Ovis aries: one gene and its partner. The protein of the gene in region 1 purifies or fractionates together with the protein of each later gene. This does not show direct contact. Links are inferred from orthologs where the notes say so. Each region holds a gene or a part of one and is shown in the gene's direction. Other genes may lie near its edges.

Region 1 (6,787 bases):
GCGTGGAGCTGCCTGTGTGGTTTTCAAAGTTATCCTGATGTGACCAACAGATTGGTTCCAGTTCTGCAGGAAGATACCAGCATGAGTCACGGCTGGTGCGGGGTGCCCGTGTGTGTTCTCTGCGGGTGTCAGGTCCTTGCTGTTTGTTGTGGGTCCTTTCCTACATTTTTGTCACCGTCTGGTCAGGGAGGGTGGTTGTACCAGAGGCGTGAGCTCTGGGAGGGCAGGGCTGAGTCGTCCCTCGTGGCACCTGGCACCCAGGAGGCACATGGTGGACATTCGCCAAATGAGGGGAGAGGCGCTGTCGGCCACCAGGTCTCCGGCCCAGTGTTTCCCCATCACCTGCTCTGCAGGCGACCTGGGTGCCAGCGTGGCCCTTGGCTCCACGCTGCTGGTGGGGTTCCTGTCTCAGGCCTTACTTACCTCGTGACTGGCTCCCGTGACTGTGGGCACTTGGTTTGAGGGCTCTCCTCAGTGAGAACCACGGTTTGACCGTCACCCCTGGCAGCCCGCTGTCCACTCTGGGAGTGGAGTCTCAGAGGAGCAGAGCTGGAATCAGCCCCAGAGGCCGTCCTCACAGTTCGCCTGGGAGCTGATAGGGCCACGAGGAGACACACTCGGGGGCAAGCGTCAGGGTCCACCTTCAGGGTCCCTACAGCAGGCTGTGGACGCGGGCTCTGGAGTCAGGCAACTCAGATTGAAACTCCTGCCCCCCTGCTAGTAGAGCGGTGCCTGCCAAGCCTCAGGCTTCTGATCTGGAACATGGGAGTAACGGGGCTAGTGGGGTGGCATGCGAGAGCTCCGGGAGCCCAGGCGCCCAGCGTGGGAGCGCAGACGCTCAGTGGGGGCCAGGCCAGCTGGTCTTACCGGCACCCCTCCTCGCTGAGGGACTGAACCACACGTGCAGCCTCCAGTCTTTGGGGACCGAGTCAGTAACCTTTTTCTGTAAAATGACAGTCCTCTGAGACGTCCGGATCATCTTGTAAAGCCCCGGGTTCCCCAGAGCTGGTGCCCCTCACGTGTGGTTACATTTCCACTCTTTGATGTGAAACCCCGAGGCGCTGATGACAAGACTGCTGTGGGCGGTGGTGCAGCAGCACTTTGACTTACGGAGAGAAGTCAGTTGTGACCTTGAAGACAGCAGAAGGGAGAGGGGCGTCGAGATGAGGGCTCCTGGGGGCGAAAGTGTTGCAGCTGAAGCAGGAGCAGCCTAGCGCCTGTCCAGGGCTCGGGCCTTGTCCGCTGAGTCTGCGGTCCCGAGGAGAGAATCTGGGAACGAAAGCTCCTCGTGGAGGCGGGCGGGTCGAAAGGCACTTCACACTTACTTGAAGTCAGTGGTTCTCAGGTGATTCTTTGAGAGTCATCACATGTGTATTTCTCTTTCAGTCTCGAGAAACCCGAGAGATCTTACATTTCCACTATACCACGTGGCCTGACTTCGGAGTCCCCGAATCGCCGGCCTCGTTTCTGAACTTTCTCTTCAAAGTCCGCGAGTCGGGCTCGCTCAGCCGTGAACACGGCCCCATTGTGGTTCACTGCAGCGCCGGCATCGGCAGGTCGGGCACCTTCTGCCTGGCTGACACCTGCCTCTTGCTGGTAAGACATCCCTCAAGACCGCAGGAAGCAGAGGGAGCATGCAGTGACCGCCAGGCTGGCCTGGCCGCGGCCCTCTATCACTGTCTGCGGTCAGTCTGCTTTGGTCTTGACTTTCTAGCAGCTTCCCTCCTGTCAAGGGAGCTTTACCGTAAACAGCTTCATTTGGAGGAGTGCTCTTAAAGCCAGAGAATCCCCTTCCCTCACACTCTTCCTCACGCTCCCCTAGGACGTGTACAGTCATGTTGCCTCTGACACCCAGACCTTGCTCAGCTGTGTCTCCTCTCTGGCTTTCAGATGGACAAAAGGAAAGACCCTTCTTCTGTTGATATCAAGAAAGTTCTGTTAGAAATGCGGAAATTTCGGATGGGGCTGATCCAGACAGCAGACCAGCTCCGCTTCTCCTACCTGGCTGTGATCGAGGGCGCCAAGTTCATCATGGGAGACTCTTCGGTGCAGGTCAGCATTCCTTTTGCTTTAATCCGAGTGTGTTGGTTTTAAACTTTTGCCTCTAAAGAAGGAGGCTGTTCACTGTCAAAGTTGAAATAATGTCATGTGTCAGGGGAAAGAGCTAGACTTCATGTTTAAGTCTGTTTAGCTAGAAAGTTGTGGGAATTGTCACCATGTTCCAGTTTCTTTGAAGTGCTCACCCAGAGAGCATTAATAGGGAAGTTAGACCTAATTTTCCAAAGATCTCATCTTCCAAGGACACGGCTGGAGACCCGAGAAGCTGAAAGGCCCCTCACCTAGCCCTCACCTCTCCTCACTTGAAAGGGAGCAGATTTCCTGACAAATCACCAACCGTGAAATCTTCCTCTTGCTGCTTTTTCAAGGAGCAATGGAAAGAGCTCTCCCACGAGGATCTGGAGCCCCCACCTGAGCACGTCCCCCCACCTCCCCGGCCCCCCAAGCGAGTCCTTGAGCCACACAACGGGAAGTGCAAGGAATTCTTCCCCAACCATCAGTGGGTAAAGGATGACACTGAGGAGGAGGATAAAGAAGACGGCCCCATCAAGGAAGCAACCAGAGCCCCGTTAAACGCCCCCTGCAGCCTGGAAAGGTAAAGATGGTCCTGGCTTACTGGAGGGGGCAGGGGCGGGCAGCCTTCTCTTGGCAACTGGTACTTCTGTGTCCTTGGGGAGACGGAGACGGAGACGGGGAGACGGGGAGAGGGGCCCCTGCACCAGCCTTGCACCTCGGCTGGTGGGCGGAGCCTCTGGACTGAGCGCAGGTTGGCTGGGGAGAGGGACTGACTGCAGCAGGGGCCTGGCGCCACCTGGTGGTGCCTGTGGGAACTGGGGCTCCCGTCAGGTCTCCAGCCCAGTGTCCACGCGACAGAAAACAGGAGCCGCGCTTCGGGCAGGTCCTGAAACTGATATCCAGGCCTGACCACGTCCCTCCAGCCCCTAGAACTCAACCTTTTCGTGTAGCTTTGATTGTCGTTTTTGTTCCTTACGGTTTGACAAAGATTACTGAGCACCTACTTGTGCCTGTGAGAAATGAGATAATTAGAGCAGGGCCCCTGATCTGTGTTCTGGACCATCTTGTTGGAAAGGGCACAGTAGGTTGTGGTGGGGGCCCCATGGATGGGACTGTGCTGGAGGCGCACGCTGAGGTGGTCAGCCTTAGAGAAGAGCCACCCAGCCTTTCCTGGGAGGTCAGGGAGGGCTGCCTGCAGGTGGTGACATTGTGCCGGAGCTTGAAGGGTGGACAGGAATCAGCCTGAGCTCGTGGAAGCAGTGCCCTCAGTGCCTCCTGTTTCAGAGGGCAGCTTAAGATTAGCGCCCACTCTGCCCTCACATTTGTCTGCACCTTGCGATTCAGCCTGCAGCAGTTCTCAGCAGGCGTGTGGAGTGCAGAGGTGTGTAGGCAGAGGTGTTCATGGTGGCATCACCTGTAGTGGTGAGAAACTAGAGGTGGGTCGATTGTGTATGCAGGGCCTGTAGTGGTGAGAAACTAGAGGTGGGTTGATGGTGTATCCAGGGAGCGCATCGGGAGGGCTTTCCCCCTGTGCTGAATGCTCTGCAGCTGTTGAAAGGCAGGATCAGGGTGTATTCTTGTGGCCGGGCTTGGGAACGTCAATGCAGGAGTGAGCAGGTTGCACGCGGTGTGTGCCCTCCGGCTAAGCGTACCATCCAGATCTTCCCTGGTTACTTTGCCAAATGCTGGTTCCAGACCTGAGTCCTGGCCCATGAACCCACTCCCAGGGCCTTTTGTGCACCTCTCATTCTGGGGCTCTAGAGACACTTGTCCGGGGGAGCCTCCCAGAGCAGAGCCCGAGTGCGGGAGGCTGTGCCCGGCTTCCGGGGCCTCCGCTGACATTCGAGAGTGGACAGTGTACTCCCCCTGAGGGCTCTTCGCAGGCCGCGGGCAAGAGACGGAGGGGGCCCACGGCTTGTGCCACGTCGGGGTCACGTGTCCTGTTTCTTCATTCATGAAGACCGTGGGGCGAGGTGCCCTCCACATTCCATGGGTGAAAGTGAGGAGCAGGGAAGCGTGGATCTGGGCACTGAAAGCCAGAGGGTGCCAGGAGACCATGGAGCAGGCCAAACTCCTGAGTGTCTGCACCGGGGGGAGCCCGCACGCACCCAGGCCTCGCCCCGGACCCCTGCCCTGGCCCTGCAGTCAGGCCCTGGCAAGGAGGTGGTGACAGGCAGTCTTCCAGCCAGTGTCTGCGTTGTCAGGCCGTTTCCAGGGCCCTCCATCCCCTACAGTTCCTCCCATGATAATAGCATCCTTGCCGTTGTCTTCCCGGGCGAGTAACCCTTCTCTGCCCCCTTAACTCCTCAGCGCGAGTCAAGACACTGAAGTCAGAAGGCGGGTCATGGGCGCAGACCCTGCGCAGGGGGAGCCATCGCCGCCTGCAGAGGAGCGAGACCAGCCGCTGAGCCACTGGAAGCCCTTCCTGGTCAACGTGTGTGTGGCCACGGTCCTCACGGCCGGCGCGTACCTCTGCTACAGGGTCTGTTTCCACTGACGGACGTGCTGGCCAGACCGCCTGCAGAAAGCCTGGCCTTCGCCCGGCGGCGGCGCTCGGTGCCGGGGAGGCCCTGAGCCCGTCCGGAAGAAGCAGGCCAGAGGTTTTCAGAGTCTAGAACTGTGAGGGCTAACGGGAGAGGACTGGGGATTGGCGCACTGGGGACTGGAGGCGCTGAGGCCCCAGGAGTGGAGGAGTCTGATCTCAGGGCCTTAACCTATTCAGGAGTAAGTAGAGGAAATGCCAAATACGTCTCTCTCTCTTCCTTTTTTTTGTTCATTTTTGAAAAAAAAAAAAAAATAGAATTACAACACATTGTTGTTTTTAACCTTTATAAAAAGAAGCTTTTTGTTATTTCTGGGGTTGGGGGGAGAAAAGACCAGGCACCTATGAAACTGCCTTGTGCCCTTAGGTGGCCTCACCAGATACAGTTTTTATTTGATTTCCCAGGGAAAGACTCCCACACATGTACGAATGTAAACTCCCTTGGCGAAGAGGGTTGAGAGTCGGACCCCGTCTGGCTTGAGCACAGCCCCTGCTGCGGGCTTCCCCTACTGGGAGAAGGAGAGCAGCGAAGGCCGTCTCTAGAAATCAGAACCTGGCTTCTGCTTCTGCTCAGGGTGTCCCGCCTCCGTTTCCCCACACAGCCCTCCCCTCGCGGCTCCCCACTCAGGGTCCCCTGGGGCCAGAGGTCACCACAGGGCGGCCGCCGGTCCTCCACCCAGGCCTTGAGACCCAGATGGAGCAGGTACTGCTCGGCTCGGAATAGGAATCCTGTCTCGGCAGAAATCCCCCCAGTTGGAATGTGTCACTGTTCAAGTTAAGGAAAAGGTCGAGGAGGAGCCTCAAACCTCCAGTCACGAAAATCACCTCCCAAGATGATTCATTTTTTATTGGTTTTTCACATTTTACCTCTTTTCTAAGCAACCGTCTTTGCATCCAGTGGTTTAGCAGCATGCAAACAATTTTTTGTTTGGAGGTGATTTTGGGGAAGGTAGAGCTCCTGTGAAAAATCAAACTGTTCATGGGAGGCGGGGGCAGCCAGGGTGTGCATGCGTCTGCAGCTCTGCAGCGCCGGGCTTGTCTGAAAATGCTTGGTTTCTTTTCAGTTCCTGTTCAGCAGTGACACACAGCCTGACCCAGCACCAGCCTCGTCCGCCTGGCGGGCAGCCGCCGTGGGTGAGGCTACAGGCAAGGCCGCAGCCGCCCGCGAGCCGCGGGTCTGCACTGAAGCGGCCCTCCTGGGCGCTTGGTCTCAGCTGCACCATCTCCCCTTCCTCCCCCTCCCCTGCTTGGAGGACCACACCCACGGCCCAGTTCTGAGGAGGGCACAGGAGGGTGCTGTGCCCATGGCATGGGGCAGGGCAGCCTGGGTGGGCAGCAGGGCCGAGTCTCACGTGGGGGCCCACCGCCTCTCTCCACTCCATATTTATTTTCACATTGTTTCCCCCGAAGACATCCACAGTGCACTGGCATCTTCTTAAACCAGTAACATGTTCAAGGTTTTGGATGTCAGCCTTGCACCAAGGGCTTTATCCAAAAGTACAGCAGTAAACCCTCAGGTCGGGCTGGGAACGGAAGACTTCACCGCAAGCCTCCACGTAGACCAGTGCCCAGTAGGAGGATGGCTGGGAGCTGTCATTGTGTCGCAATGCTGTGGCGTGCTCGAGAAGGAGTCTGCATGTGTTCATAGAGCAAGGGGATAATGTATAATGGACACTTGGCTATTTAAGACATGGTGTGAGGTTCCTTTGTCCCAGTTCCTCATCTCCCCAGTTACCTGCTCAACCTTGACCTCAGCCACCACTCCCCCTGTGTGTATTAAGATGCATGTCCTGTCTTCCTGTGTCCCCATCAGATACGACGTGCTTGGAATACTTAGCGCTCTGCTGACTAGCGTGCCCCATGTATAAGTCCAGTTTCCCTTTGCACGGTCTGATCGTTACATGTCTGTGGTTCCTAAGACTGTTGCTGAAATAGTCGCCATTCAGCAGTGGAATGACGTTTTCCAGTAACAGATAGTTGCCTAATTCCTGGCACAACCCTCTGGTGACTTCCTGGTGAGGCCCAGCCTGTCCTGCTCCAGCTGCGTCCACTGTAGCTCAGACATTCCAAGGGCATGGGGAGCCATGGTCACACCTGGACATGTAGAGGATCAGGGTCCTCCCTCCCACCCCCCCCCACACACACACGCACCTTTCGGATCAGCCTCCACCA
Region 2 (8,025 bases), on another chromosome or scaffold:
AGACATACCCATAATTCCTCTGTTTCCTCTGCTCTGTGGTTTCCTTTGCTGCTGCAAACTAGTAAACGTAACTTGGTTGGGTTACAGATTTTTCCCTGGTGGTATTTATATGATGGGATAAAATTATTTGAGCTCATATTTAACTAATTTCATTTTTAAGAATCAGTTATGCTTCTTTTTAAAATTACTTATTTATTTTATTTTTTGGCTGCATTGGATCATCTTTGCTTTCTCTAGTTGCAGTGTGGGGGCTACTCTTTTTCGATTTTTTAAAAAAATTATTATTTTTTTAACACCAAAAACATTTTCTGCTGGGGTAACTGATTAACAATGTTGCTGTAGTTTCAAATATATAGGGAAGGGACTCAGCCATACATATACATGTATCCATTCTCCCCCAAACCGCTCTCCCATCCAGGCTGGCACATAACTTTGAGCAGAGTTCCATGTGCTATCAGTTCAGTTCAGTTCAGTCGCTCAGTTGTGTCTGACTCTTTGCGACCCCATGAACCGCAGCACGCCAGGCCTCCCTATCCATCACCAACTCCCAGAGTTCACCCAAACTCATGTCCATTGAGTCGGTGATGCCATCCAACCATCTCATCCTCTGTCATCCCCTTCTCCTCCTGCCCTCAATCTTTCCCAGCATCAGGGTCTTTTCAAATGAGCTAGCTCTTCACATCAGGTGGCCAAAGTATTGAAGTTTCAGCCTCAACATCAGTCCTTCCAATGAACACCCAGGACTGATATCCTTTAGGATGGACTGGTTGGATCTCTTTGCAGTCCAAGGGACTCTAAAGAGTCTTCTCCAACACCACATTTCAAAAGAATCAATTCTTTGGTGGTCAGTTTTCTTTATAGTCCACCTCTCTCATCCATAGATGACTACTGGAAAAAGCACAGCCTTGACTAGACGGAACTTTGTTGACAAAGTAATGTCTTTACTTTTTAATATGCTGTCTAGGTTGGTCATAACTTTCCTTCCAAGGAGTAAGCGTCTTTTAATTTCATGGCTATACAGTAGGTCTTTGTTGGTTGTCCATTTTAAATACAGCAATGTGTACATGACCTTCCCAAAGTCCCTAACAATCCCTTCCGCCAGCGGGGTCTACTCTTGATTGCAGTGCATGGGCTTCTCATTGCCCTGGCTTCTCTTGTTGAGGAGCCCAGGTTCTAGGCACGTGGGCTTCAGTAGTTGCAGCACCTGGGCTCAGAAGTTGTGGCTCATGGACTTAGTTGCTCCGAGGTATGTGTAATCTTCCCAGACCAGGGATCTAACCTGTTTCCCCTGCATTGGCAGGCAGACTTTCATCCACTGGGCCACCAGGGAAGTCCACTGATGCATCTTGAACAAGGGTATTTTTAGAATATCTTGCCCAATGAATCATTCATGTCTTTTCTCTGAACTATAGTCTACTTCCTAAATGTATCTTTTTTTTTTTTTAAATAAAATCTATTTACTAACTAGACATATTTTGGATTAACCTTGAATGCCCTTTCTTCACTGCTAGGAGCTCCAAGATGATAATCACTTTCTCCCAAGTCCCTAACACTTTCACAATGCTATGCAATTTTTAAATGAACTAGTAATTTTCCCTTTTGCCTTCTTGAGTGATTCTTGTAATCTGTATCAAGAAATTGCCAATTTATATTGAGAAAACACCTTAGGAAATCACTGTTTTGTGGGCCACTTCAAATGGGCTACTTTAATATAGGAACTTGTTTTCTGATTGACACACTTGATTTTTTCTCCTTTCCTCAACTAAAGACAGGGACTCACTAGTCACTGTACAAAGCTGTCTAAATGCTAAGGATTTCTGTATCACAGGCCCTAGCTGAAGAATGCTGTAATCTCTAATGCCCTTCTTATTCCGGGAGTAAGGCCAACATGATCACAATGCACTCTTGTTATGGCTGAATGTCCCTCTGCAAAGAATAGTGTTTCTCAAATGTGTTTGATTAGAGCCACATTAAGTAATACATTTTGTTTCACTTCTCGGGGCACACAGATCCAAAAGACTGGTATAAACATTTCTCAGAACAACTCCATTACACGTAAAGCACCCTGAGATTGTTCTATTCTTCTATATTTCGTTAAAAAAAAAAGTGATGGTCTCCATCTACCAAACCGATATATAATCCCCTAGAGGTGATAATTTATGGTTTAGAAAACACTGGCTTGGAAAAAGACTTTTGATTTGTAGTCAGTCTTTCCACATTTCCGTACACCTCTGAGAGTTTCCTACAGTTGTTTTCCTCTAAAGGATTACTGCGCCCTCTGTTTTGTGTAAAGGTTCTGTGATAGGGCCGGTCCCCTTCTTCCTGGCTCCTTTAAGAGGATGGTAACTGCCCAACAGTGGAGGCGGAGTGGTGAGTCTCAACAAGCCCCTGATGCAGCCCAGGCCCGCTTTTCCAGTTCTTGTGAAAGCCTTGTGTGTGTGCGCGCGCGGAGGTGGGGGTAAGGGTGAGACCGCGGGATACACAGACGGATTGTTAAGAGCGAGCAGCGGCAAATAGAGCCTCAGGGGGCGTCTCTGCGCTCGCGTGCCCGGCGAACCCAGGAGGGTAGGCGCGTGCGCAGAGCGAGTCTGTTCCGGCCCCTGTGGCGCCTGCGCGCGCTCCCGCCGAGCTAAAGTCCGGGGTGGGCTCCGGAGCGCGGCCGGCGCGGCGGCGCGCGCCAGGGGGCGGGCCTGAGCGGTCGGCACCGCCCTCCCTCGGCGCGCTCCTCTCCTCCCAGTCTCCCTCGCGCTTCCTGCACTACGGTAGTCGCTGCTGCGTCCGCCTCCCCGGTCCCTTCCCTGTCTCGCTCGTGCTGGCTGTGCCATGGCGGCCTTCAGCAAGTACCTGACCGTGCGAAACTCCTCGCTGGCGGGTGCCACGTTCCTGCTGCTTTGCCTGCTTCACAAGCGGCGCCGCGCCCTCGGCCTGCACAGGTAAGAAGGCCCGTGGCCGCGCCGCCTTCCCGGGCCCGAGCTGGAGCTCCCCGGGCGCTCTTCTCCTTCGCCCGGCGGACGATCCCCTTTGCCCCGCGGGGTCAAGTGGAGCCGGGGCTGGCCGCGGGCGCTGCCAGGCTCCAATGTCAGGGTGTCCGGGTGTCCCGCGACGCGGGAGTTCTCCGTGCTCCCTGCGCTCCGCCTGCTTGTCCAGTCGCCTACTCTGTCCCCGGGGGTGTGAATCTTTTTCTTGCACCCGCTAGCAAACCTGTGCCTCTGACCCGAGGAGTCGCCCCCCATATCCTCCCCTTTTTACATCCACTCCACCACCTCCTTTTTTGCATCAACTTTCTGGGTGTGTTGCAGTTTTGCCATCTCATCTGATTGTCAGTGGGTTTGCTTTGTGGACGGTTATGTGTGATTTGAGGATGGGGATTGGACGCACACGCTGGAGGCTGTTGTTTTAAGTCAGTGGGTGAGGTTTGGCATGAATCCTTAGTAGTTGCCATTGAAAGTCGCTAGGATGGTTCTTGTGAACTATCCCGGATCCACTTCAAAGTTGCTTTCTAAAGTGCTGTCCCCTTGGAGTTGGTCAATGGACGCCCTGGCATTTCAGCCGAAAAGGCCGAATGGGTTCCGAGGTATTTGGAGGGCAAGGTTCCCTTTCCTGATTCGCAGGTGGAAGGTGCAAGTGTGCTTTAGATAAGGGTTAGGAGCTCTTTGGATTATACGCCGTTGCTTCTCCTTCGAGAATTTTAATGTTTAAATTTAACTTTGGGAGATTATAAGATTAGAGAAGGAAGAGAGAATTGAGTTACTTGTTGTGGGGTTATAGATATAATTTATTTGCTTCAGCAAATGAATGAGAAAAGGCTATGTCAAGCATGCTTGCCTGGAAAGTATTGGATATTTCATATTGAATCTTGGCATCGTGTTTTCATACATTTTATCTCATTCATTTCTTTGGGCAGGTATTGTTGACTTCTCTTTTGATTTGCCTATTATGTCTGATTAGTAGTAGACGTTGGTTTAAAACATTGACAAGTGGGCTTCCTTCCCATGAAGTTCTTCCTAAACCTTCCCCTGTCCCTGATTTCTTTATCTTATTAAAGTCTGAAGTAGTGGCCTTTCTTTTCCTTTGTAAATCTGCTTAACAAAGTTGAAAATGATTGGCATCTTCGTCAGAACAGTACAGAGCTTTTTCTTCTATCCAGTTAGCTGTTAAAATGACTTATTCTGGAAAATGTAAACAGAATTGTAGATGAGATTGTATGTTTTCTGAGCTCCCAGTTGCCAATGGCAGTTATGCATTATCTGGGAATATGCCAGTAGAAAATATTGAATGTTGTAAGATAACTTTCAATTACACTTTTGTGGAGAAGTATTTCACATGGAACAGGTGTTTTATTATGGGAGAGGGGGATTTGAGGACTGCCCTAACAGCTCTGGCTTGCTTTTATGATTTTTTTAAAAAGTAAAAACATTGTTTTATTGTAGAATTACATATTTGTAGAAAGTTACATGTTAGTGTAGGGCTTGAAGAATTTTCACAAATGAAACTCACTCATGTAATCATCACTCAGATCTGCACCCAGTTAAGAACATTGTCAGCATCCCAGAAACACTCTCCAAGTCTTTCAGGTCCCTTCCAGTCACAGCTAAAGTAGTTCCTGATTAATAAAGCCATAGATAATTGAGTGAGGGAAAGTTTAAGCATAATCAGATGGGAAATAGTAGTAATAATAGCAAAACAGTATGGTATAGTCTGGCTTAGTAAATAATTTTGGATGTTTATGCATTATTAATGTAAAAGGCTGTATAGATCTCTTTTTGAGAAATTTTGTAAACTTTGGAGGGGATTAAACTATGCAGCAGTTAATTTACTAAACAAAAGATTCTTGTTAATTTTTTGCACTGGCGGTACAGTACTAAGGAATATCTGTATTTTACGCATTAAATAGTTTGTGGGAGGGGAATGCAAATTATGAGCAGATAAGCTTGAATTTTAAATTACAGAAATAAAATGGTTGAATTATTTTAAAGTCATGAAGAATGGTGTCAAATCTATCTTTGTAGATAATATACTTCCAGAATCACTTGGATATCTTTCAGTTGCCGTCTTTGGCATCATAGTGTTGCAGCCACTTGTTCCAGCAAGCAAACTCACTCAGAAGGACAAGGCAGATAGTGGAGTGCAGTTATTACACTGGCGGGCCCAAGGCAGAGTCTCCTCTTAGCCAAGGACCCCAACCAGTTTTTGTGAAAACCTTATATACCCTGAGTGTACATGCCCAAACCCACCTCCCCAAATTCCCTGAAACTAGTCTGAACAAAGGAAAAGAAAGATACAGTCAAAGTTAATCTGGGATTCATTTGCCTTAAGCCTCGGTAATTAACAGTGGACAATTATCAATAGGCCTGTGGCCATACCCCAATAAGCATAATAAAATTTATGATTCTGTTTGGTTACACAGATAATTAGGATATTCTTTTAGGCTATGGAGAGTCTAGGTACTAGCCCTGGGGCTCTTACATCCCGGGGGTCTGGTTTTCCAGTTGGTATGTCGTTTCCATAGATAACTGGGCATATAGCTCAGTCCACAAGTCCAGCCCAAGAGGGGGTCCTGCTTTCAAGATGGAGCTTGTTCTGTCTGTTTCCTCCTTCAATAGTTTGATGATTAGAAAATTGTAACTTTATATTTTACTGGCTTTTTGGGTATCTTCGGTAACAGGGCTAATTAACTTTACCATCTAGTACCTAATTAAGGAAATTGTGACTGCTTGACCTTTATAGCTTGTCTGTGCTATTGACAGATTTGTCTTAGAAGATATTCCTTAGAACCAGATAGGTAATAAAGATAGTAAAATCAAGATACAATGTTACATTATTCCAGACATTGGGAGAATGAGTAATTTAATCTTCTGAGTAGTTTTTTAGTTATATATGATTTGACTGGGAGAAATATACTTTTTATTACAGAAAATCTCACATGCATTCAAAGTAGGCAGAATAATTTTGTGGACCCCCGTACACTCCACACAAAAAGTACTGTCAACATTCTATCATTCTTGTTTCATCTATAGCTCCTTGCTCCCTACCCTTATTTTTTTTTAAAGATTTTTAGGTAAAATTTGTATATATTGAGCTGTACACATCCTGTGTATTTTTAAAATAAATAGATGGCAACAGTTTAACACATTCCTTTCGTAAAATTAGAATCTTTTCATCTCCCCAGAAAGTTCCCTCGTATTTGTTCTATATGACCACTGTACTAACTTTTTCACCCTAGTTTTGATTAGTCATACATCTTATTTGTTTATTATTTATATGGAGATTAGTGGAATCATTTTATTCATGGATAAAGGAGACTCATGTATTCAGTTCAAAGGAATTCTCTGTTTCATAATGTATTACCACACTAGGTGCTGTGGGATGGAGGTGTGTCACACATACATTCAAAAAATATATGACATCTTTAAGTGTGAATTAGTCAAAAAGGTAAGATGATGACAATGCAGTGTACAGACAGTCAGGCCTTAGAAATTTCTGAAAGAAGAGATTAATATGGTTGGGAAGAGCTAAGGAAGGCTTTCTGAAGGATATGAGCTAAGCCTAGAATGAGGGTAGGAATGAATGACTGGAGATAAATTGAATGTTAACAGAAGCCTTTATCAGATTTTTGTTGCATTTTATGAGGCATGGTCGTGCTCTTTCCATCCATTGTCCACTGCCACGAGAGCTCTTTTTAAGAAACACAAATATGGTCGTGTTATTTCATCATTCAACTCTTTCAGTTCAGTTCAGTTCAGTCGCTCAGTCGTGTCCGACTCTCTGCGACCCCATGAATCGCAGCACGCCAGGCCTCCCTGTCCATCACCATCTCCCCGAGTTCACTCAGACTCACGTCCACTGAGTCAGTGATGCCATCCAGCCATCTCATCCTCAGTCGTCCCCTTCTCCTCCCGCCCCCATTCCCTCCCAGCATCAGAGTCTTTTCTAAAGAGTCAACTCTTCGCATGAGGTGGCCAAAGTACTGGAGCAACTCTTTCAGCTATTCTAAAATACAGAATTCTTAGCATGAGAGAGTGGTGTCGTGATCTGGTCCTCTGCTACATACTCAGCCAGCCATATGAAATTAACAGTCTCTGAGCGGGATGGGCTCTGCCCAGCCGTTGCAGTCTAACTGTAATCATTCTCATCCCCACCACTTCTTCCCACCCTTTGATGTTCATTTTCCCTCATGACTCAGTTCAGCTAGCACTTTCTTTTAAATATTGTCTGTCTTTTCCTGATCTCCAGACTGGTGGTGTGCCCTCTCAGGCTGCACTAAGCATTCCTCTACTCTGTATTGTACCAGCTTATTTTCTTGGCTTCTGCCTGCGTCAGACTGTGAGTTTCTGGAGGCTCTGGACTGAGTTATCTTTACGTTCCTAGTTTGCCTATGTCACAGGATAGACATTCAGAAGCATTTATAGGGTGGACAAATGATGCAGGGTAGTTGGAGACTTTTTAAGGATAATTGACAGGCAGTTGGAGATGGGGTACTAGCACAAACATGAGTTAAAGGCATTATCTTCAGAGAGGTGATAGTTGTGTGCCTGAGATTGTATAACAGGAACTGGGGGTAGGGGAGGGTAGGAAATCAGCGGGCCAGTTTTAGAAGGCAAGGAAGGGACGAGTCAACATTGCTAAACTATTTTATAATCTTAAAAAAAAAAACAAAAACAGAAGCAGAACAAAGCAGTTTTCTTTCTTTTCCCATGAATACTTGTCAAAGTTCAGATTTCATCCTGGATTTCAGAATCTGCCTTTATCTGGTCTCACCTTACCTGGCTAATCTTTTATTCCATTACCTGTTCCAAATAGACCAGTCTCTGCACTGTTTTCTGAACAGGCCACACTGCTTCTTGGCTTTGGAGCCTTATTCATGATTTAGCTGTACCTGGAATATCTCTTCCTATATTCTCGGTTCTTCAACTCTTATCCTTTAAAGGTTAGGTCAGGGTCAACTTTTCCATGAAGTGTTTTTAAACAACTTTTAATCTGAATGATAAGCATCCCCCTTTAGTCTTATGAACCGTGTGTTTAGGT

The links.
Region 2: the proteins of PTPN1 (region 1) and ABCD3 purify together in Homo sapiens (affinity purification with mass spectrometry; 3 studies listed by BioGRID and IntAct, with this or other methods). This does not show direct contact. The link is inferred for Ovis aries from reciprocal best matches to the Homo sapiens genes PTPN1 and ABCD3.

Annotation. Positions count from the first base shown.
Region 1 is NC_056066.1:78,593,668-78,600,454, forward strand, and holds part of PTPN1 (tyrosine-protein phosphatase non-receptor type 1), read left to right. Parts: intron 1-1,386; coding exon 1,387-1,596; intron 1,597-1,890; coding exon 1,891-2,052; intron 2,053-2,426; coding exon 2,427-2,653; intron 2,654-4,383; coding exon 4,384-4,570; 3' UTR 4,571-6,787. UniProt on the Homo sapiens protein: Tyrosine-protein phosphatase which acts as a regulator of endoplasmic reticulum unfolded protein response. Mediates dephosphorylation of EIF2AK3/PERK; inactivating the protein kinase activity of EIF2AK3/PERK.
Region 2 is NC_056054.1:71,536,906-71,544,930, forward strand, and holds the start of ABCD3 (ATP-binding cassette sub-family D member 3), read left to right. Parts: upstream 1-2,752; 5' UTR 2,753-2,823; coding exon 2,824-2,933; intron 2,934-8,025. UniProt on the Homo sapiens protein: Broad substrate specificity ATP-dependent transporter of the ATP-binding cassette (ABC) family that catalyzes the transport of long-chain fatty acids (LCFA)-CoA, dicarboxylic acids-CoA, long-branched-chain fatty acids-CoA and bile acids from the cytosol to the peroxisome lumen for beta-oxydation.